Linked DNA regions of Rattus norvegicus. The protein of the gene in region 6 interacts with the protein of the main gene of each other region in a pairwise test. Links are inferred from orthologs where the notes say so. Each region holds a gene or a part of one and is shown on either strand. Other genes may lie near its edges. The genes, in order: Spg21, Syt16, Snx15, Cert1, Rtn3 and Rtn4.

What was found.
Region 1: the proteins of Rtn4 (region 6) and Spg21 interact in a two-hybrid assay, tested with the Homo sapiens proteins (2 studies listed by BioGRID and IntAct). The two-hybrid records come from large-scale screens. The link is inferred for Rattus norvegicus from reciprocal best matches to the Homo sapiens genes RTN4 and SPG21.
Region 2: the proteins of Rtn4 (region 6) and Syt16 interact in binary tests that used the Homo sapiens proteins (3 or more experiments, as listed by UniProt). The link is inferred for Rattus norvegicus from reciprocal best matches to the Homo sapiens genes RTN4 and SYT16.
Region 3: the proteins of Rtn4 (region 6) and Snx15 interact in binary tests that used the Homo sapiens proteins (3 or more experiments, as listed by UniProt). The two-hybrid records come from large-scale screens. The link is inferred for Rattus norvegicus from reciprocal best matches to the Homo sapiens genes RTN4 and SNX15.
Region 4: the proteins of Rtn4 (region 6) and Cert1 interact in binary tests that used the Homo sapiens proteins (3 or more experiments, as listed by UniProt). The link is inferred for Rattus norvegicus from reciprocal best matches to the Homo sapiens genes RTN4 and CERT1.
Region 5: the proteins of Rtn4 (region 6) and Rtn3 interact in binary tests that used the Homo sapiens proteins (3 or more experiments, as listed by UniProt). The link is inferred for Rattus norvegicus from reciprocal best matches to the Homo sapiens genes RTN4 and RTN3.

Annotation. Positions count from the first base shown.
Region 1 is NC_086026.1:74,900,136-74,904,176, forward strand, and holds the end of Spg21 (maspardin), read left to right. Parts: intron 1-484; coding exon 485-625; intron 626-2,920; coding exon 2,921-3,037; 3' UTR 3,038-3,541; downstream 3,542-4,041. UniProt on the Homo sapiens protein: May play a role as a negative regulatory factor in CD4-dependent T-cell activation.
Region 2 is NC_086024.1:98,705,167-98,708,666, forward strand, and holds part of Syt16 (synaptotagmin-16), read left to right. Parts: intron 1-1,499; coding exon 1,500-1,813; 3' UTR 1,814-3,500. UniProt on the Homo sapiens protein: May be involved in the trafficking and exocytosis of secretory vesicles in non-neuronal tissues. Is Ca(2+)-independent.
Region 3 is NC_086019.1:212,852,651-212,856,577, reverse strand, and holds the start of Snx15 (sorting nexin-15), read left to right. Parts: upstream 1-1,127; 5' UTR 1,128-1,212; coding exon 1,213-1,314; exon of another isoform or gene 1,315-3,927. UniProt on the Homo sapiens protein: May be involved in several stages of intracellular trafficking. Overexpression of SNX15 disrupts the normal trafficking of proteins from the plasma membrane to recycling endosomes or the TGN.
Region 4 is NC_086020.1:29,616,047-29,620,001, forward strand, and holds the start of Cert1 (ceramide transfer protein), read left to right. Parts: upstream 1-1,155; 5' UTR 1,156-1,579; coding exon 1,580-1,675; intron 1,676-3,955. UniProt on the Homo sapiens protein: Shelters ceramides and diacylglycerol lipids inside its START domain and mediates the intracellular trafficking of ceramides and diacylglycerol lipids in a non-vesicular manner.
Region 5 is NC_086019.1:214,070,861-214,074,360, reverse strand, and holds part of Rtn3 (reticulon-3), read left to right. Parts: intron 1-764; coding exon 765-2,873; intron 2,874-3,500. UniProt on the Homo sapiens protein: May be involved in membrane trafficking in the early secretory pathway. Inhibits BACE1 activity and amyloid precursor protein processing. May induce caspase-8 cascade and apoptosis.
Region 6 is NC_086032.1:107,692,617-107,696,116, reverse strand, and holds part of Rtn4 (reticulon-4), read right to left. Parts: intron 2,075-3,500; coding exon 1,936-2,074; intron 1,883-1,935; exon of another isoform or gene 481-1,882; intron 1-480. UniProt on the Homo sapiens protein: Required to induce the formation and stabilization of endoplasmic reticulum (ER) tubules. They regulate membrane morphogenesis in the ER by promoting tubular ER production.

The DNA.
Region 1 (4,041 bases), on a different chromosome or scaffold from region 6:
CATGGGGCCAGATGAGGGCGTTGATTCCCCTAGAACTAGAGTTACAGGCAGTTGTGGGCTGCCCTGTGGGTGCTGGGACCCTAACCAGAGTCCTCCAGAAGAGCAGCCAGTGCTCTTAGCTCCAAGCCATCTCTCTAGACCAGGATTTCATTGTTTTTGAAGTTGGCATTCTTGTGATTACTTACTATTAATATTTCATTAACTGGCTACATATGAGAGGCAAGAGACATTTGGCAACAGATCTACAGCTGAGGTCTTAAGGAGTTGGAATTAGAATTTTACTTTCCAGATGGGGATGGGGGGGGGGGCTTGCACATGCTAGGCAAGCATTGTACCACACAGCTGCACGCCCAGCCTCTCTGATTGGAGTTGGACATGACCAGGAACAGCAGTAGGAGGCAATTTCTGGCACTCAGGAACATGGGGTGACACTTTTGTACTGAACTAAGAATGCCTGAGATTTCAGCCTTGTGTGTCTTCAAAGGTGTTTGACCAGAGTGCACTGTCAATGGAAGCCAAGGAAGAAATGTACAAACTGTACCCTAATGCCCGGAGAGCTCACCTTAAGACAGGAGGCAATTTCCCCTATCTGTGCAGGAGTGCAGAGGTCAATCTTTATGTGCAGGTAAGTCCAGCCTGGGCCCAGAACATGTGAGCTTTAGAGACCCCTAGTGCTCCTTAACGGTGCTCCACTAGATCAGCCCTGCATCACACACTGTGGTGCAAGTGGCCCTTAGTATGGTGGCCCTTGCCTCCTGGAGACAGGGAATGCAGCCAGAGCAAGACACCACATCCAAATGGAGCCCTCCAAGTCTCAGAAAATGACTTCTTGATCTGATTGCACACTAATGGCAAAAGTAAAACACCTCATTTTCTCAAGAGATTACTAGATGGGGTGACAAGTGGCTGCCTTGATAATCTGGCGAGAAGCATCAGGCGCCTTCCCAGTGAGCGAGCCTCATCTTTAAGGCTCTCCACTACTGCAGAAGTAGATTCTAAGGAGGCAGTCCTAACCATAGAGAAACCGATGCCCAGAGACGCCCATCATGCCGTTAGCCACAGTAGCGAAGACTGGAAAGACCGCACTGAATGTCCACAGTTGGAGCGTCATTGGGCTGTTTAAGATGTGTATGAAGGGGGTTGGTAGAGCGCTTACCTAGGAAGCGCAAAGCCCTGGGTTCGGTCCCCAGCTCCGAAGGAAAAAAAAAAAAAAAAGATGTGTATGAAGGGCTGGCCAGATGGCTTCGTGATTAAGAGCAGGTGCTTCTGTGCACAGGATTAGGTTTGATTCCCAACACGCACATGATGGCTTACTACCACCTGTAACCCCAATTCCAAGAGATCCGGCACCTTCAACCTCTACAGGCACCAGGCACACGTGAGCAAAACATGCAAAGAACTTTTAAGAAAAGAAAAAAAGGTTTATGAAGGGCTGCAAAGATGGGGCTGTGCAAGAATGAGAACTGTAGTTCAGACGCCCAGAGTCACATAAATGCCTGCTGAGCCTCTAGGCTGGGAAGGTGGACTCCGAGGACTCCCGAGAGCAAGCTGACTATCAGGGGGCTGGAGAGATGGCTCAACAGCTAAGAGCACGGGCTGCTCTTCCAGAGACCTAGGTTCAGTTCCCAGCTCCCACTTGGCAGCTCAAAATGAAATTCTAGATCCAGGGGATCCAGCATCTTCTTCTGGCCTCCAAGTGCACATTATATGCATATGATGCATAGGCCTATGTGTGTAGGCAAATCTCCTCTACACATTTTTTGGTTGCTGGGAATTGAACTCAGGACCTCTGGAAGAGCAGTCAGTGCTCTTAGCCTCTGAGTCATCTCTCCAGCCCTCTACATTTTTAAACAAAGGATTGACCATGTTAGAGAGCTCTGGATTTGATTGATACCTGCCTTCCTCGATGATTAAGATGAAGAGTGATCAACCGTGGGTCTCTACACGCACATACACACGAGCCCACACACGAGCCCACACACATGCGCCCTCAAATGCACATATGCACAAACATGGGAGTTAATGTGGGTGGAGGGCAGTGTCCATGAACACTTGGCAAGAGAAGCTGCTTTGACACAACAGTTTGAGGGCAATGGTCCCAGCGATTCTTTGGTCAGCACAGTGGTGAACACTTACAATCATAGCACTTTGAGCTGACACGGGATTGCTCTAAGTTCAAGGCCAGTCTGAGCTACATAGTGAGACCCATGTTGTTTCTTTGCTGGCTTTTCTCTAGTGTAAATTCTCCCACCATGCTTGTTACTGGCACACTACACCTTCTGCTCTGTGACAGTCGTTGACAAATGAAGGTGCTGGGTATTCTTCAGTGGTAAAGTGTTTGTTTGCTATGTGACGAGGAAGGCCTGACCTCAGTTCACACCATCCAAAGCGGGTGTGATGGCATAACCCGGGGAGGGACAGACAGGCAGACCCTGGGGCCGGCTAGCCTGCCAGCCTATCCCACTTGCCAAGCTTGATGCCACTGAGAGACTGTCTCCAAGGCCAGGTGGAGGGCCATGATGGCTCAGCGAGTGAAAGAACTGCCACCAAAGCCGACAATCAGTTCAGTGCAGGACACTTCAGAGGACACAGTTAGCTCCACAGCCTCTCTGTCTTCCACACATACACACGCCAAGTAAGTTGTGACTTCTTAAAGGAGCCCTAAGGGGGCTCACAACCATCAGTAACAGGGACCCGATGCCCTGTTCTGGTGAACAAGAAGACAGTACTCACTGAAGGGGGCAGGAGCCCTAAGGAGTGACACCAGTGCTGCTCTCTGGCCTCTGTGATTTCAGAAAGATTCAGCACTGGGATGGGGGCCGCACGGTGGTGGAGCCCTTGTATGGAACTCTGAAGCCTTGCTTCAATCCCAGCACCATAAAACAAAGCCCTAATAACCAAAGCCATCTGCTCTTTCCAGATACATTTGCTGCAGTTCCATGGAACCAAGTACGCTGCCATCGACCCGTCGGTGGTCAGTGCAGAGGAGCTGGACGTGCAGAAGGGCCAGCTCGACCTCAGCCAGGAGGAGCCATAGAAGGGCCCAACAGCGAGCCACCCTGCTCCTGCACAATCAGTTCAGGTCCATCGGGCACACTGGTTCTCACTCTTCTGGAAGTAGGACTGATTGTCAATCTCATGACAGGCGTCAGCCCTTCTAGGCCAGTGTGACTGTCCCCTCTCCACGTTTATTTTTGCTTTAAACTTTTGAATTTGAAGAACTTTTAAAGACTCCCATTTTAAGAATTGTGAAAATTTTGCTACCAAAAGTCTTCTCCACACTGTGTTCATCTCGAAGGCTTGGGGTCGGTCATGTGACATTTTTCTTTTCCTGCTTTGTAAGACTGCTGCACCTCCGGGTTGGAAGAGGAACACGGTCATTTTTATGTTTTCTTGAGCATAACCAGAGTATCGAGGCTGGCAGCTTGCTGGCCACTCCCTACACATCAGCTCTTTTAGTTTCCAGTTGAGCACACCATTTTGAGTATTAGCTGTTGTATTTCTAGACATTACATTTGGAATAAAAATTGAATTTCAGCCAGCGGCTCCTGTGTTGAGTGTTGCTGCCCCTCTGGGCTGCTGGCCAGTGCGATGTGAGGTGAGCTGCTCCATTGCTCTAGTGAGGCACAGCTGGCTGTTACCTGCTGACTGCCACACACTTTTCATCTTCCCACAAATGGGGCTTGTTAGAGTCTTATTTAGGATAGGCTGGCCTTGAACTCATTATGAGCCAAGGCTAGCCTAGAGCTCCTTATCCTCCTGCCTCCCTCTCCCAAGTGCTAGGATGACAGATGTTAGCCTGAAAGATCACCTGATAGAGATGTTTTTATACATATGGAGAATACATTTTAATGTATTTAATGGAGAAAATAATAACCTGTCTCCAGCTCTTCATCCAACATAGAAACCTTCCAGACTCTGTATAGCCCTCACTTTCCACACACCTTCCTTCCCTGGATGACCATGAAGCTGTTTTGATTCGATAGCGTTTCTGTGTATACTTTCAAGAGATAAGGTGGGGTATTTGAGAAGCTGGGAGAT
Region 2 (3,500 bases), on a different chromosome or scaffold from region 6:
GGTTGTTGCTGTACAGCTGCAGACTCGCAGACTCGCAGGCTCATTCCCATTGTGGGTCTGTTGACAGCTTTTCCCTGGAACAGTTTGAGGAGTGGAGAGCCCTGTTTCTGAGACAGAGAAGTGTTTTCACACCTGAAGTGCAATCTCACACCTTGTGTTTCTCAGCAGATAAGTGCATAAAATAACACATCAACCCGGAATAGAAAAAAGATCAACGTACAAAGAGAGCCCTAGGTTGTAATTCGCTTCCTACCTCACAATGCTCTGAGAGGAAATTACAGAGATCTGGGTTTACGCTTTTGAAAAGTTTGACTGCTGGTTAGCTGGGGAAGCGAGCTGCAAGCACAAGGCTTCTGCCTGCACTGAACACAGAATACAGACTGAGGCAACTTAGACAACACCTAAACATTTGATTCAATTTTTTTTTAACAGTATCATGCATCTAAGTTAGAAGCAAAGCTTTCTGTTATAAGTCCAAAAATTATCAATGAAGTGATTTTAATAACATATATTTGTGGGGATAATTTTCTTTGCAACGAGTTATTCAGAAATTTTAGCCAAAGGAGATGAAGTTAATAAAATTTGGATGCTTTCTTTTCCTTTTGGCAACTAAAAGTAGAAATTAGTCAGTACTTCATAGTATTTTAGTTTAGGGGTCTTAAAATGGGTGGTTTTGCTTGAGTTTCTTGTTTGAAAATAAGAGAAGATCAAAAGAAAAAAAAAGGTTTAACTCTCTGTCTGGTGATGAATATTCATCATAAAATTGTTGTTGAAAGTCTAGCCTTCTCCCCACCCCCATCAGGTACTAGGCCAGGCATGGGGGTTCTGGGCCAAGTGAGGCAACCCTTCCTTCTCTTTTCCTTTGAGGGACTGGCAGCTTGCAGACAAGAAACCGCACAGTGATGACCCATGCTGGGGTAGGGTCAAACAAGGTGCTAGTGGAGATGGAGTCAGCAGGGATTCTGGAGAAAGTATTGTACAAATCCAACTGTGATGGGAGACGTTAGGGGAGGTGCTTGGCCTCTGGGATATCAGGATACTGGCAGAGTGCATGAAGCTTGTGGCCAGAGTTCCAACATGAGATGGTCTGGAGAATGGGTAGACTACATGGTGACTAAGAAAAGAAGATACACTTCAGCCAAGACATAAAACAATAATTTGACTGTAGAAGAATGTCCCACACATGGAGAAAAGAATGCATACCCGATACACAAATCATGACTTTCTCTGAGTTCACACGGCTCTTATGGCACATGTGCCTGGGCAACTCCATGCATACTCAGTACAAAGAGAGGTTCTAATGAACTTCAGCAGTGTGCCAGACGGTGAGCTGTACGAAACAACAGACGTAAGACAGTGAATTTTCCTTAATAACCTATGTGAGATGTGGTGGTTCAGCAGCAAAGACCAGTGGAGAAATTTGAAGTCAATGTAAAGATTACAACTTATTGCAAAGCCCTGATAGTTTCTCATCCTTCTCTTGTCTGCTTTTCCTGTAGATACATATGGAAAACTCTTCCTCCTCAACTGTGTGGGTCAAGAGATGTCCCGCTGCAAGACGTCCATTCGGCGTGGCCAGCCCAACCCCGTCTATAAAGAGACCTTCGTCTTCCAGGTGGCCCTCTTCCAGCTCTCGGATGTTACCTTGATGATTTCCATTTATAGCAGACGCACAATGAAGCGTAAAGAGATGATTGGCTGGATTGCTCTGGGCCAGAACAGCAGTGGGGAGGAGGAGCAGGAGCACTGGGACGAAATGAAGGACAGCAAAAGCCAGCAGATCTGCAGGTGGCATACGCTGTTGGAATCCTAGGTTTATCAACAGCGTTCCCGTGCTACGTCAGCCTTGCTTACCTAACACCAAGTCAGATCATGGCAGGTGGAGGAGCTTTCAAATGGAGAATTTTACTAATCTTGGGTCATTCCGTGGTGTGGAACCATCTCAAAGGTTCGATCTGAGTTTAAATGTTGTCGTGAAAGGAAACCTACATACACAGTATGGGCAATGGTATCTAGTTGAGACCACTGGCTATATCACAACTTGTGCTAATGGATGATTGTGTTTTGGTTCGTACTATGTGGTTCAGCTTCCTCCTGCTGTCTCTTTTTGCTGGGAGAATAGCCTGAGATTTCAAAGGAGCTGTAAACATTACTGTTTTCCATCACTGAGGTGTATGAATCAGACTCTTCTCAGTGTTCAAAATTCCAAAACAGAAATGAATCAGATGCTGAGCGTTACGGAAGGACGTAACCCACCACAGTCCTCTGCCACCCCTATTCTCTTTATGGAAAAAAAAAGCCCTGTTTATTTAAAAGGTAATTGCTATAAATTTGTGGTGTAAAATAAATTTGTATTCATGAAATGTCTCTTTTTATCTCAATTAGATATCACGATTTCTAAAAGAATTGGGGTAGACAAATCATCTTAAAGCTCTAAAGCAGTTAAAAAAAATGACTGTTATCTGACCTGTCTCTTTTTGAATATTTAAGATTTCCAAAGTCAAGGATTTTTGTGCTTTCTTATCAAATTGGTACCCAGAGAAGAAGAGGAAAACCTAGGAGATAATTTAAGCCTTGGCTTTCTTGATGTTTCAGAACCTGTCATTCATTTGGATTAGACCTTTTCTATAGATAATTGTACTAACTCTCACATGTATTTTTTTAATGTACTTCTGCATGCCAACCACATTTGTCTTTATGCTATGTACCTTACTAATAGAACATAGAAAGATGCATACAGTGGATCTCAATAAATACTAATTTGATTGACTTTCGCGAGTGAACATGTGAAATCTTCTGAGTGAAGGAATATTGTCATTTGGTGTGGAGTAACACTGAATCCTTGGGTCATTTAAAGGACCCAGCACTGATATTTCTTACATGTGCAACAAAATGTATGAGTGAATTCTTGTCTGTGGGCACATCGTTTAGTCCCCAGCACCGGCCTAGCATGGGTTTGGGCATGAGGCTTTGCTTATGAGTGGCTCGCACACAGTTATGCAGCCACTTTAATTGTCTTTATTCCCAGCTCTGAGATCTGAATCTCGGTGTCTTTTACCTGGAAGTGATGAGGTGGGAAGGAATCCACCCTTAACCCTGTGCTCACCATTACAGTTTCTCCGAGCAAGGTCCCAGCCATTTCCTTTTAAATTTTTCTATTTTCTTGTTGACTTCTGTCCTGTCTTTGGGAAGAGTGCTAGCTAGTGACGGACGGATGCATGCTGTCAGAGCCACATAGCTTCCCCCACAGCGCTACATTTTGACAGATTGTAAGCGTAGGCTGCAGTACTTGAAGAACGTATTTATTCCTTACACTTCATAATGGTTATCCCGACAAGACCAGACAAGGGCCCAGGATAACTCGACTAGATCACAGGGATCAGAGTTTGGGAAGAAAACAGTTTTATATGGAGGGGTAAGAATTTGCAGAATAAACTAGTATCACAAGGTCTTTTCAGGCCCATTGGGTGGGTTTCTCCCACTTTCCTTGGGAAGACCTC
Region 3 (3,927 bases), on a different chromosome or scaffold from region 6:
AATAGAATGAGGGTCTCTAAGCCCACACCCACAGTGACACACCTACTCCAACAGAGCCAAATCTTCTAATAGTGCTACTCTCTGGTCCAAGCATATGCAAACCATAACAAATGGTTTGGGGTCTTTTTGGTTGGTTGGTTTTTGTTTTTTCCCCTCAAAACAGAGATCCACCTAAAAACATGATTCACCACCACAGCCAGATTTCCTCAAATTTTTTAATGGTTCTTTTTTTCACTTTTTTCATTTGAAGATGGGATTTCTGGTGGTGGGGGAATGTGCTGGAATCTATGTTTAGGAATAACACTGTTGATACACCTTCCTCAGCAATTTGGCCTTGCCCTAGTGTTGGGTTTTCACCATACTTGTGTTCTGCCAGCATGCCTCTTGATCTAATCTGTTACAGAAGATACAACGACAAGTACTCCTTTCCATAGAGGAATAAACCAGGTGCATGCAGTCATGGGAGGGAAATGTGATGCTTATCTGTGACCTCAGCATTTGGGAGGTGGAAAATGAAGGATCAAAAATTCAAGGCTAGCCTCAACTACAATAGTGAGTCTGAGGCCAACCTGGGCTACATGAGATCCTCTCAATCTCCCACCTCCCCAAATCTGAAGCAGTTAAGGGGAATTCAAATAGCTGCAAGTGTTGTGATTTCAGAGACTCTGTCACTGTTCAGCATTTTCAGCATCAGAATATGTCAGTTCCCCAGCTATTCTGGCACAGAGATGCAGGGAACTTAACTTGGCTCTGCCAGGCACATTTTGAACACAATGAAAATTGCATGGGTTAGGCCCTATGCCAAGCACCTTAAATTCCAGATACTCAGGAGGCTTCGGTAGGATATTTTAAGCCCAGAAATTGATCCACACAGCAGAGACCATAGCTCAAAATAATTCATAAATAAGAGAATAAGGGAGACGTTTTGGAGGTCTGTAAGGTGAGCTTAATCACATGCCACAATGCCAGCTGGTAAATCCTCTCCTAAACAACCAATCCTTAATCTCTACCTACAACTCCGCTTTACCAATGACCTAGAACTTGTCAGACACTCCCTTAGCCACGCCCCCAAGCCAAGAACGGCTGTGTCACTTGTGACTGGTCCCTAGGCCTGAAGAAGGGCGCAGGCCGGATCCTGGCGGTGGCAGCAGGCTCAACACGCGGAGCGGGGGCGACGTGCAGTAGGAGGAGCCGGCGGCCAGCTCCGCTGTCATGTCGCGCCGGGCGAAGAAGGATGACTTCCTGCGACACTACACAGTTTCGGACCCCAGGACCCACCCCAAGGGTTACACCGAGTACAAAGTAACTGCTCAGGTGAGGTGGGACCCAGCGGGGAACATTACCCTTTTAAGCAGTTCGGGACCCGTGCTGTACCTTAAAGGTAAGGAGCTCCGGGGAGGTCGCGGTTTGGCCTACACAAATGGATTTCCCCTTTAAGAGGAGTCTGAGGCAGAAGACTTAAGGAGCCTCACCGCCTGGGGCGGGGCTAAGGGTCATTTTTAAACTCCGGAGCAGTGCTCTGCGCCCAGCCAGGCACCCCCCCCCCCCCCCGCCCTGTTGATGATGGTGTCTAGATGCGGTCTACGAATTTCTCAAAGAAAAAAAATTCCGGATTAACTCAATATTCCTCTTTAATCTCTTAGAGTAACTTTTGGTAATTTTTCCTGCTTGATACGTAAACACACACACACACACACCCGCCTTTTTATTTATTTATTTTTTTCTTTTTCTGAGACAACCCTGGCTGTCCTGAACTCACTATGTAAACTAGACTGGTCCTGAAGTCACCGAGACCCGCCTGCAACTGCTGCCTGAGTGCTGGGATTAAAGGCTTGCACCATCATGTCCGACTAAAAAAGCTCTTTAAAAAATTTATATATAGGGGTTGGGGATTTAGCTCAGTGGTATAGCAAGCGCAAGGCCTGGGTTCGGTCCCCAGCTCCGAAAAAAAGAAAAGAAAAAATATATATATATATATATAATGTATTTTATACATTTATTATATATACAGTATACAATATTTGTGTGGTTTTAAAAACGTAATTCAAAAAGACTGCTCTTCACAGATAAGGAAGTCAAGGTGGAATTGGTGTCTAACAATAAAACTTAAAATGAGCTTGTAGAAACATCAGCAGGAAAGAATGCTTTTAGAATTTTACCCATGGGTGCGTAACTATGGAGGGTCTACAGCAGAAGAAATCGGGTTGCTGCCTGAAGGCTGACTATACGTTTTCTTATACTTAAATTTTTTTCAACTAGGCAACTGTTTGATTAGTGCTCTTGTCAACTGTTAAAAGGAAGCAAACACGTAAAAATCGCTCCCAAATCAATGTAAGCCAGAATTTTAGATACCTCAAGAGTGTGGGTATGCCCAATGCCTTGCTTTTTTCCAATGCCAAAAAAATACAAATATAGTAATTGTCTCTAGGAAGATGGCCAGAGGGTAGAAAGGATGAAAAAACATTCATAACCCTTTCTTATATGTCTTCCTGTGAGCATTTTAGACCTAGTCACATGCCTTACACATGCTTACAGTTTTTCCTTTTTTTCAGTGCTAGGGTTGAACTCAGGGCCTCCCACATACTAGAAGTGCTTCTTTCTTTTCTTCTTCTTCTTCTTCTTCTTCTTCTTCTTCTTCTTCTTCTTCTTCTTCTTCTTCTTCTTCTTCTTCTTCTTCTTCTTCTCTTCCTCCTCTTCCTCCTCCTCTTCTTCTTCCTCCTCCTCCTCCTCCTCTTTTTCTTCTCTCTCTCTCTCTCTCTCTCTCTCTCTCTCTCTCTTTCTCTCTCTTTCTCTCTCTCTCTCACCTGACACAGCATCCAATGGGATGATCCTTTTACTTTATAGATTTATTTACTTAATTTTGTTTTCTTTTTTTCCGAGACATGGTTTTTCTGTTAGCCCTGGTTGTCCTGGAACTTGTGCTATAGATCAAACTCGAACTCACAGAGCTCCACCTGCCTCTACCTCCCCAGTGCAGCCTCCCTAGGGATTAAAAGTGTGTGCCACCCCACCTGGCTTATTTACTTAAAAATTAAAATGTAGTTGGTTTAAAAAAAAAAAAAAACAGGGGTTGGGGATTTAGCTCAGTGGTAGAGCACTTGCCTAGCATGCGCAAGGCCCTGGGTTCGGTCCCCAGCTCCGAAAAAAAAAAAAAAAGAAAAACAAAACAAAACAAAACAAGGGGTTGGGAATTTAGCTCAGTGGTAGAGCGCTTGCCTAGCAAGTGCAAGCCCTGGGTTCGGTCCCCAGCTCTGAAAAAAAGAAAAGAAAAAACAACAACAACAACAAAAACAAAACAAAGAGGGGTTGGGGATTTAGCTCAGTGGTAGAGCGCTTGCCTAGGAAGCGCAAGGCCCTGGGTTCAGTCCCCAGCTCCGAAAAAAAAGAACCAAAAAAAAAAAAAAAAAACCAAACATGCATGTTTTATCTGCATGTATCAGTGCGCTATCCATGCAATACCCAAGGAGGCCAGCAGAGGGCGGTAGATCCCTATGGATTGGAATTATAGGCCACTGTGTGCCTTCCTGTTGGTGCTGGGAATAGAACTTCTGTCCTCTAGAAAGCAGCCAGTGTTCTTAACCTCTGAGTCATCAATCTAGTCCAGATTTATTTACTTTTATTTTAATGAATGTTTTGTCTGTACTTATGTATATGCACCAATACAAGCCTCATAGGCTCGGAGGTTAGAAAAACATTGAATTGCCTGGGATTGGACTTTTTTAGAAATTATTTCTATCTGCCATCTGCATGCCGAGAACCAAACCTGGGTCCTCAGCCACAGCAGTGAGTGCTTCTAACTGCTGAATCATCACTGTAGTGCCCCCCCCCCATTTGTTTGTGTGTATCACAACTGTGCTTGTATGCCTGTGGAGGTCAGAGGAAGGTACAACAGATCTGATGCCCTGCAGCTGGAATTACAAAAGGTTG
Region 4 (3,955 bases), on a different chromosome or scaffold from region 6:
AGTACATCTCAGGGTTACTGCCTATCATTACGTAGAGTGTAGGACTCTTCTATTGCTCCCAGAGTTTTTTGTTTGTTTCATAATCATTGTGCCTTAACACCCGAAACACTCAAAATTTCCTCTTACTTTCCCATCTGGGTAGCAAGCAGAAATTCTTTTTTACAATTTAATAAGGAAATTCAAAGTTGTAAATTATCAGTAATTTGATAGCTATCTATTGTCTAATTCCTTATTATTTAGTAAAACTCGCGTTTTGATCTTAATGATAGAAAGTTTCTATTCAAACTTTCCTGTCTTTCGGGAAGGAAGAAGATGGTTAACTCAGGGTCTCCGGGGGAGATACTTGCTTACAACTAAGAGAAAACTTCAGGATATAATAATATCCTTATATCTGCTTTTAAAAAGTTCTTTAAACGTCATTTGTTCTCTGACAATCTCAACATTATTTTCCACAAGATAAAAATTCTATAAATTAACAAAGCGAAAATAGCCTGAAGGAATTCTTCCTTTGACAGCAGTAAACCTCAAGTATTAAATCTATTTCCGAAGACACAGACAGTAGTCCTTCGGAATTAGCAGTGACGGTTTTAGAGAGGAAAAAAAAATCTTCAGTTTGCGATTGGAGAGATCATAAACTCCTAACCTGAGTAAAGCGACTGAGCCTCTATCATTTTTTGACCAGGCAAGTTGCAAAGATGTTCCCGGGCTTTCCGGAAAGCAGCGTCTCACCACCCAACATCCTCACCTGAGGGTTCTCACGTCCCGATTCGCAGGCTCGTCATAAACACGCAAGGCAGAATCGGAAGCCAGGCTGGACCGAAGGGGCACACAACTGTCAAAAGAAGCCCACTTGCTCTCAGAAGGTTCCCCTAGGCAACCAGTCTTTCGCGCGCCCAGGACACACACACTAGTTGCCTAGGATTGCGACTACAACTCCCAGGAGGCTGCGCGGCGGACAGAGCGCCGGCCTTCCCAGAATGCAGCGCAGCAGTTTCCCTGTTCAGCTCTCTCCTTTCCCCGCTCCGCCTCCTTCCCTACCCGTCGTCACTCGGGAGGGCCGGAGGTAGGGAGCGTCGAGAGCCACCGGGAGGGGCCCGGGGCGGGGTGGAGGGAGGATGGGAGGACGGAGGGGAGGGAGCTGAGAGAGGAGGGAGGGTAAATAGTGGACCCGGCAGGAAGATGGCGGCTGTAGCGGAGGTGTGAGTGGATCTGGGTCTCTGCTGTTGGCTTGGCTCTTCCCGTCTTCCTCCCCCTCCTCCCTCCCTGACTGAGGTTGGCATCTAGGGGGCCGAGTTCAGGTGGCGGCGCCGGGCGCAGCGCAGGGGTCACGGCCACGGCGGCTGACGGCTGGAAGGGCAGGCTTTCTTCGCCGCTCGTCCTCCTTCCCTGGTCCGCTCGGTGTCAGGCGCGGCGGCGGCGGCGCAGCGGGCGCGCTTCGTCCCTCTTCCTGTTCCCTCACTCCCCGGAGCGGGCACTCTTGGCTGTGCCATCCCCCGACCCTTCACCCCAGGGACTAGGCGCCTGCACTGGCGCAGCTCGCGGAGCGGGGGCCGGTCTCCTGCTCGGCTGTCGCGTCTCCATGTCGGATAACCAGAGCTGGAACTCGTCGGGCTCGGAGGAGGATCCGGAGACAGAGTCCGGGCCGCCTGTGGAGCGCTGCGGAGTCCTCAGCAAGGTGAGCAGCCCGTGGGGCCACGGATCCACTGCCTGGACTCACCTGCCGCGAGACGAGGGGAGCTGCTCGGGACCTGGGGTGGGGCTGGACCGGGAGGCACGGACTGTCCCGGGGCGGGGGCTGCGGAATGTGCTGGGGTGCGGGGCCGAAAGGTCGTTTTGGAATGAGTGCCTCGCCAGGGATGGGATAGGAGGTGCTTGGGACTGTCCTTACTCCTAGACCCCCTAATCTCTGGATCTTGTCAGCTTTGGTCGAGGACCTTGGAAAGCTTGTGTTAAATCTACGATCTAGTTTGGAAGGCAAGGTGCATCTGGTAACTTGGAACCTAAGGCCGCAGCTGTCTGGGGTGTAGGAATCTGGGTTGGGCAGGCGTGGTGTCTGAAGAAGTACTGGACACGGGGACAGTTAAATCGACCTTTAAAACTATCTTTTGGAGCCCCCCCCCCACACACACACCAGAATGGGGGGAGGGGTGTTCAGCTCTAATGGGTGTAATTTAGGCAAACCAGTTGATTGGCTTTGGCCTTGAAATCTGAGATCGTAAACTTCGAGGTGTGAGTGATCTTTGGTGTAGAAAGTGTGTGCGGCACTTCTGTACTTTGCCCCTCCTTGTCCAAGTTCAGAAAGGAGCTATTGAATTGGCACGCTGTGGATAAGAAATATTAATAGTAAGTTGAAACGTGTCAGAGTGAAGACCGACCTTTAGTTCAGGAAAAGGAGCATTTTTTTTTTTTTTTTAGTAATTCAGTATTTGTGCAGAAAAGAAAGACATTTTTTGTTGTTTTGTTTTATTTTCCCTCTGTACTTTTAAAAACTCTTCAATTTTCTTTCTTCTTTTCTTTCTTTTTTTTTTAAAGCCTAGAGTGCATTTATAGGGTTGAAAATGAGTGATCTTGTTAATATTTCACAGTGTGTTGTATTTTACGTTTTTGTTGTGGGGAGACCCAGTTAGTCTTTTTGACTTCCCTGTCCTTTTCTGTTAAACTTTAAGAAATGCTTAGAGCAAGCAGTTAGTTTCCAGAGGGAGAGTCGGGGCTGGTCCCTTAGCAAGCTGGTCATAAGATACCAAGTCATGTGCTAATGGCCATTAAGAAATCATTGTACTTCTAATATTCTTGAACATCACTTCTGGAATTGTCTGAAATTTAGGCTATTACATAGTCTTTAGCTGAAAGGGCCTGGGATAGACTTAAGAATACAAGGCTTCCAAGTGTTAACTTATTTACATAGTAGAAAATTATGTTGTATTAAATACTGTGATTATTTTTGAAATTTTAATGTAATGCTTTAAGTAAAGTGAAGCTCTCCAGTGTTTATTTAGATTTAATGCATCTTTATAATTTAAGACTCTGTATTGAACATGATGTGTACTACGTTTGCATTTTCAAATGGGTTCTTTGTCTCTCTTGATTGTGATAGTTTCCTTGTCTTCAGATGAGAGCCAGAATGCCATATTAGTATTTTGTTCAAGAATTTTATGGAGCAAACTTTACTTTTGACTTGTCTGTTTCTTTGAGACAGGGTTACTCTGTCGAGCCATAGCTGTCCTAGAACTCACTTTGTAGATCAGTCTAGCCTTGAGCTTACATAGATCCACCTGCCTCTGCCTCTGCCTCTCCCTCTCGCCTCTCTGCTTCTCTGCCTCTCTGCCTCTCTGCCTCTCTGCCTCTCTGCCTCTCTGCCTCTCTGCCTCTCTGCCTCTCTGCCTCTCTGCCTCTCTGCCTCTCTGCCTCTCTGCCTCTCTGCCCCTCTGCCTCTCCTCTGCTTCTCTGCCTCTCTGCCTCTCTGCTTCTCTACCTCTCTGCCTCCCTAGTGCTGGGATTAAAAGTGTGGGCTCCTGATGCCTGCCTTACTTTTGACTTGCTGATCATCACTGTTTGGATGTTGAAGAATTGGAATGGTGAAAAAAATCATATGCTCTGTTATCTGTTGTACAGAGCAGGGTGTGACATATAGTGTGACTCTGAACCTGGGACACGGCAGAGTTGGGTTCACTTAATCCTAGCACCCAGGATGCTGAAACAGGAGGATTGTGAGTAACCAACCTACCTATCTAGTAAAGCCTTTGTCTCCCAAAATCATTTTTGAAAGAAGGATTCTATTTGGCTATGCCCGTGAATTTTGACTATTCTGTATATATACAACCAACAGTAGTAAAATCTTACCAATGGTTGTAAAGAAAAATGTCCTGAAATTTATGGGAGGCAGAAGCAAGTGGATATCTGAATTCCAGGCCAGCGTGTGTATGTGTGTGTGTGTGTGTGTGTGTGTGTGTGAGAG
Region 5 (3,500 bases), on a different chromosome or scaffold from region 6:
CCCATAGCCTTAACAGGTCTGACATTGTTCAGAAGTCAAGTCCTGAGCCACCTCGGAAGCTCAAGGAGACTCTTACTGTGATGCACTGTGTGATTGGGTTAAAATGGCCAGTAGCCAGGAGATTCGATAGCAGGCTGAGCTTTTCAATACTCCAGAACATCAGGCAATTTGCATCTCTTTGTTGAATCAAAAAAACATCTGCTGCCTTTCTAAATCAAGAACAACTTGAGTCAAGCTGCTTACTTTTCTTTCTCAGGTTATGAGGACTATGACAAGGGATCTATAGAGCCAGTATGTTCTGAATTGTTCAGCTTACAAAGGAAGGCATAGCAGCATGTCATAAGCATAAGCAAGCTGTTTTGTATAGATTACATTGCTCCTATTGAATAAGAACCCCCTCAAAAGAAAAGAAAAACTCCCCAAATCTCTCAGTATCATCACCCCTTTATTATGCAGGGAGGGAAAAGTAAACCAATTAAAAAATATTTGTCCTGAATATGTTTTGTCATTCACAATTTATAGCATGATACTGGCTTTTGTTTTATTGTTGGCAGTTTTATGCATGTTTTGTAAGACAACCATTGATCTTTGCTCTGTTATATACTTGTGTGTTTATGCATCTGTTTATATACATGCTGTTATGTGTGCGCGCGCGTGTGTTCATATGATTTTTAAAAATAAAAAGCATGCTGCTTGGCCTGACTAGCTAATGTGTGTACTTGCACCTGGTAAATGATCTTTTTCCTTTCAAATTCTGACCATAGTGGGATTGAGCTCTCTTTGCTCTGATGAGCCACCATCAAAAATTATGACTTCCTCCTTTCTTTCATCTTCTGAAATATATAACCCTGACCCTACAACACCACTTGGAAGTGAAACATTAGGCAGCCATCTTGTAGCTAAAGACGGAAAAGATCCCTTGGTTCTTCTAGATAAGAAAACTCTGGACTCACCTCAGGGGACCAACAAGGACAGAGTAGACACTCCGGTTTCTCTTGCAGCTGACATTCCTTGCAGCCACCCTTCTATTCCAGACAGTTTCCCAGAACAACCTACTTTTCTTTCAAAGGAAACTGATCCAACAGAAGAGTGGGTAGTTAAAAACCAAGAACCCAAGAACCCAAGTGAAGTTCCAAGTGGAGAGGACAGAAGTGCACTGGATCTTGGGCAGCGTAAGGCAGAACACATTTGTACACATTCCTTGTCTCCATCTGAACCTGCAGTAGCCAGTGTAGAAAAAGATTCTCCTGAGTCACCATTTGAAGTAATTATTGACAAAGCAACATTTGACAGAGAATTTAAAGATTTGTATAAGGAAAGCACAGATGATTTGGGTGGCTGGGCAGCTCACGGTGACAGAGAATCCCCAGCAGATTTATTGGAAATGAATGACAAAGTGTTTCCACTGAGAAATAAAGAGGCAGGGCGTTACCCATCCTCTGCACTGCTCGGTAGACAATTCTCACACACTACAGCAGCACTGGAAGAAGTGTCTAGATGTGTGAATGATATGCATAACTTTACTAATGAAATACTGACTTGGGACTTAGATCCCCAAGCAAAACAACAGGCGGACAAATCACCTTGCACCACAGAAAGTACAGGACTAGACAGGAGTGAACATCGCTCAGAAATTCCAGTTATAAATCTTAAAACAAGCCCTCAACAGAAAATGCCTGTATGTTCTTTTAATGGGAGCACTCCCATTACTAGATCCACAGGTGACTGGACAGAAACATTTACAGAAGGAAAACCTGTAAAAGGCTACCTCAGCTCCACAAAAGAAGCTGGTGGCAAAGGTGTACCAGACAGTTCTCAGCCTATCTCAGGCTCTGGAGCAGCCACAGTGGAAGTGACTTTACCTGACCTGAGGGGTACCTGGCCTAACTCTGTGCTAGGGGAAGTCACAGAGGTTGATAGTTCTGGGGAATCTGATGACACAGTAATAGAGGACACCACAGAAAATCCCTCAGTTAAGAACAACAAAGTTTTGCCAGAAAAATCTGACTCCCTTCCAAGTGCTGCTGTAAAAACAAGTGAAAGGGAAAACAAAGAGACTACCAGTCATGAAACTGTGAGGAGTGAAATGTATGAAAACTCTGAGCAGCAGCAGGCCCATGCAGAAACTCCTACTCAGAGGAGTCTGGAAGGTCAGATGTCTCCACAAGTACCTAATATGCTGAATGAAGTCATACCTGAAAATCTTGCTATGACTGACACAACCAGAGTTTGCTCAGCAGCACCTCCAAGTGTTCTTAGTGAGACTGGATTCTCACTAACTGTGCCAGCTTCTGCCAAGTCAGAATCTTTGCTTGGAAAAAATGTTGAAGATACAGATGGTTCCTCTCCAGAGGACTTGATGGCTGCCCTCACAGGAACTGAGGAGAAGGGGACAGTGGATAAAGAGAAAGGTGATGTTTTGGAAGCAGTGTTAGAGAAGATAGCAAACGTTAAAAACACTTTGCCTGTGGAACTCTTGCATGAAAATAAGCTAAGTAGTTCTGAAACCAAAAATACTAAAAGCAAATACAGTGAACACAGCAGAGAAACAAATGGAGGTGCCCCCAAGGTGTCTTCCGACTTAGAGCAGGAGCAGCTCACCATTAGAGCCATTAAAGAATTAGGGGCTAAGCAGGTGCAGGCTGAAAGAATGTCTCCTGGAGGAAAACTCAAGCGAACCTTTGATCCACAGTCTGGGCCACAGAATTCATCTGACATCCTAGAACACACAGATATCACAACTGGATCTGATCTTGGGATTCCCAAAAAGCCTACTATCATCAAAGACACTAGAATAGATTCTATTTCCAGCCTTACCAAGACTGAAACAGTTAACAAGCATGTTCTAGCAAGACTTCTCAGTGATTTCCCAGGTAACCATTTACAACAGAAATTCTGCATGTGGCTAATACTGCTGTGATTATAAAGTTTCTGTTCTATTTTGAAGTCCTTTCTTTATAAGTAGTCTGAGTATGGCTATTGCCTTTTAAGAATATCACCACATGCTTATTTACCATTTTTGTGATTTTGCTGCTGTTTGTTTTGAGATAAGTTTGCCTCAAGCTGGCCTGGAACTCTCTATCTTGCCCAGGCTATTGTTGAGCTCATAGTACTCCTGCTTCAGCCTCTGAAGTGCTGAGATTACAGGCCCAGTCTGTATTCTTACTTATTTTCAAAGTTCAGTTTTTTAAATAGGGGACTTGTAAATTTTAATTAGTTATCAAAGATAAAAGAATTCCTGCCGGGAAACTCAGTAAATGTAACTTTTAATTAATTTGCTGTATTCCACAGAGGGTTTATGCTTTGAAAGTAGGTGATCATTATGACAGTGCTCTTTTGGAGTAATACTTCAGAGAGACTCATTCATTCTCATACTTCAGACCTACTGAACAGTCTGCGGACAACAGGACATTCAACAGTACCAGAATCTTTTTTATTTGGAATGGTCTCTTTCCTAGCAGATAGCTTGCAGTAAAATGGTTTTGAATGCTGTTTATCTT
Region 6 (3,500 bases):
AGCACATAGAAACTGAAGCACAGAAAGTTTACTAAGTTGCCTGGTGTCCAAGTACAGCAATACAGGTTTCATTGTTTCTTCTAGGGACCAGAGATTATAATAATTATAATAAGTATGCTTTGTTATATAGTATATAATATACATAACACATATACTCATGTACACTCATGAATAGTTTGACAAGATTATAAAGTTTTCTTTCACTTCTAAAGCTTATGATATCACACAGCTCACTGACATGTTCAAGAGAAGCACAAAGTTGGTCTAAATTGTACTCAATACTCATAGTCAGTACTTTCGGTAATGACAAAAATGCTGGATACTTTGAGGGGCAGAGTTCTATATAAAACATTGACGATAATATATTTATTATACAGATAGGTTCTTTTCTGTCTTCTGCTTACGCTTCATGGTGCAAATGGAGTGTACCCAACGACCATTCTGTGCACTTTAACTCCCTGCTTTCCTTCACACCTGCAGGTAATACATCCCTTTCCTCCTTTCCAAAGAGAACTCCTGCACTGCTAGACCTTCTAATGCAAAGCTGCTGTGTCTGGCAACTGCTGTGGCCTACTTAGGAGGTGACAACACAGTACCACGTACCGCATCTATGGTGACCTGAAATTATGGGCATGAGTATTTTGCTTCTGTGTATGCTTAGTGCCCATAGAGGGGTTCAGATCCCGGGGAACTGGAGTTATACAGTTGTTAGCTGTCACAGGGGTCCTGGGAATTGAACTCAGATCCTCTGCAAGACCTTTTAACCACTGAGCCATCTTCCCACCCCCTATGGTGATTATTTAGGTATATGAAACAACAGTGCTAAAGAGTAAAGCTTGTAAGCGCCTCCATTAACTAAAGCTAGAATTGGAAAATTTCCACAAAACCACATAATAAACATTTTGCCGTTAATGCCCCCAAGGGTCTCTCATATAATTTTTTGTTTATTTATTGCTATAAATGGAAGCCACCACTCTTAGATCCCAGGCTGTGAACTTTCCCTACCAACTGGTTTCAATAGAAAATAAGTAAATGCACTTAGAAACATGAATGGTCTCCCTGACAATGGCTGGGGGAGAGAGTGAAGGAGAAGTATGAACTTTCCCCTTTGTCAAGGAAAGGACTAGCTTCCCTCTATTCAGCTGGGAACCCAGAGACCCACACCCAGGCAAGCTTAGGACAGTAACTGAGGGCAGGGTAGACAGAGCCAAAGACTAGGTCAGAGAGAAGGTGGACAAGAGTCCAGGACCCAACCCCCTCTAGGTGACATAACCACAAGGGAGGGGCTGAGGATTCTGCAGACAGGACATCTCCATAGCAGAGACTGAAAGCAGGAAGCTACTCTCATCTAAGAGTCCTCTGAGATCCAGGGCGTGGCAGAGCTGAAGAAGGAACAGCAGACGGCAAACCAGCACAACACTCTGCCCTGTGAAGACCACGCCAAGCAGACTCCAGTGTCACACCACAGTTACACTCATTTGGCAGAAGCTTACACCTCAGCACTCTGTTGGGCCTCCATGGGTTAGATTCACTGTTGGTGGACACAGCAAACTGAAAAACCTTCACTGCTTGAACTGTGCCTTGCCTCCTTCACTGCTAGTTCCCTACTCTTGATCTAAAGAAAATAATTTCCATGTACTCAGACACCTAACAAAAAAACAACTGAATGCTTACTATGAGTAGGTTTTGAACTCAAGGTATTCAAACACTAGTAAGCACATTTACCGCAGGTTAGGTTAAGGAGATCTCTTGGGTGCCTACAACCACCAATTCTACAAAGAGCAACACTCTAATATCCAAGTAAGAAAATGTCAGGCAATCATATTGCTAATCTTTCTGATATGTGTGTGTGTGTGTGTGTGTGTGTGTGTGTATATATATATATATATATATATATATATATATATATATATATGAAAGGTAAAATAAACTTACCTTCAGGGAATCAACTAAATCATCAACTAAGAAAAGCCGCCTCAGTTCTTTTATTGTGCTGTTCACATGACCAAGAGCAGAATTACTGTATTTCTGAACCAATTCCTCTGATATAGCAACTTCAGATTCTAAATATGCCCTAAAAAAAAAAAAAAAAAAAAAAACAGACCACAACTGACACTGATTCCCACATGTTAATCAGCAATTGCATATCAATAAAAGGAGATTAATATTCTATAACAATCTACTATAAAAGGCCTACTGTAATTATAAAAGTCCAAAGTACACTGGCTGTGCTTGCTGGCTCATGCTTATAATCCCAGCACTTAAGAGGCTAAGACAAAAGGATCGTTACTAGCTCAAAACCAACCTGCGCTACAGAAATATCTCAAACAAAATAAAACAAAGCCAAAATTCCCAAGCTAAGAAGTGTGCTTTAAAGGCATTTTAAATCTTAACTGCTATCATTTTCTTAGTAATCTAAATTTGCAAACTTAATCTTCTAAAGTTGCTTCCTCATTTAAAATGGATGTAATGAGGATTTAATGAGTAAAATGTTTAACAACCACTCTGTCTAAAAATCTCTCAGAAAATTATTTTCTGAGTCTTAATTAGGTTCTGCTACCAAAATTCCTACTCATTTCCATATTCTCTTTATGGAAAAAGTCAGAAATGTTAAATACTAGCATGTAAAATAGCTGCTAAAAGTATAGTACCAATACCAATAAGGGTATTTACTCTCTATTTTCATGTTCTCATGAAAATAAACACTGTAGTGTGCAGGAAGTGTTAAATTTAAGAAGATAATAATTCAGGGATGATCATTTGATTATTACCATGCCTAAACTAATCCTATTTTCTCACACTGTGTCCTTGGAGAAAACCCTGTCTCATACTCCTACCTTTGCAGTATGCCCAAGTGTGTCTTCAATCACTGTTGTTAAGTCTCTATTATTATTTGCACACTGAGATACTCTTATCAGTGTGCAAGCCTGTTTCTAATCTAGCTAATCTATTCCCTTCATCAACACCAGATTAGCCTATCTGAGCTTCCTAAAATAGCAGAGTCTGGGTTGAGCTCAGGTGGGTATTAGAAGATGGCTATTTTCTAGCTAAATAATCTTTCAAAACAGCATTTCAATTCTCTGGGTCAAGTTTCCGACTCCATGAAGAATCATGCCCAGTTCAAGCACTGTGTTACTCTGATTCCAACAGAGAGCACATCTAATTTTGCTCACCTTTCCACTGCTCCCTATATTAAAGCTGGAAATAAGTCATGCATCATGTTTTAACCTTAATGCCTTGGTCATCATGCTATTTTCCTAAAGCATAGGTCACTTCTTCCTCTGGTGACAACTTATACATGAACTAGCCTCACCTCAGACCCCACCCAGACATGAAGACTCATCAGCTATGAATCCTAAGTTCCCACTATAATCTACCACTCTTTTATACTCCCAAACAATGTTTTTTTCTACATTATTATATTGAATACAGACAGAATAGTTTTCCCACTTAAGCAAAAACTATTTAGAACATTTCTTTTCAATAGTGTAAGATACTGG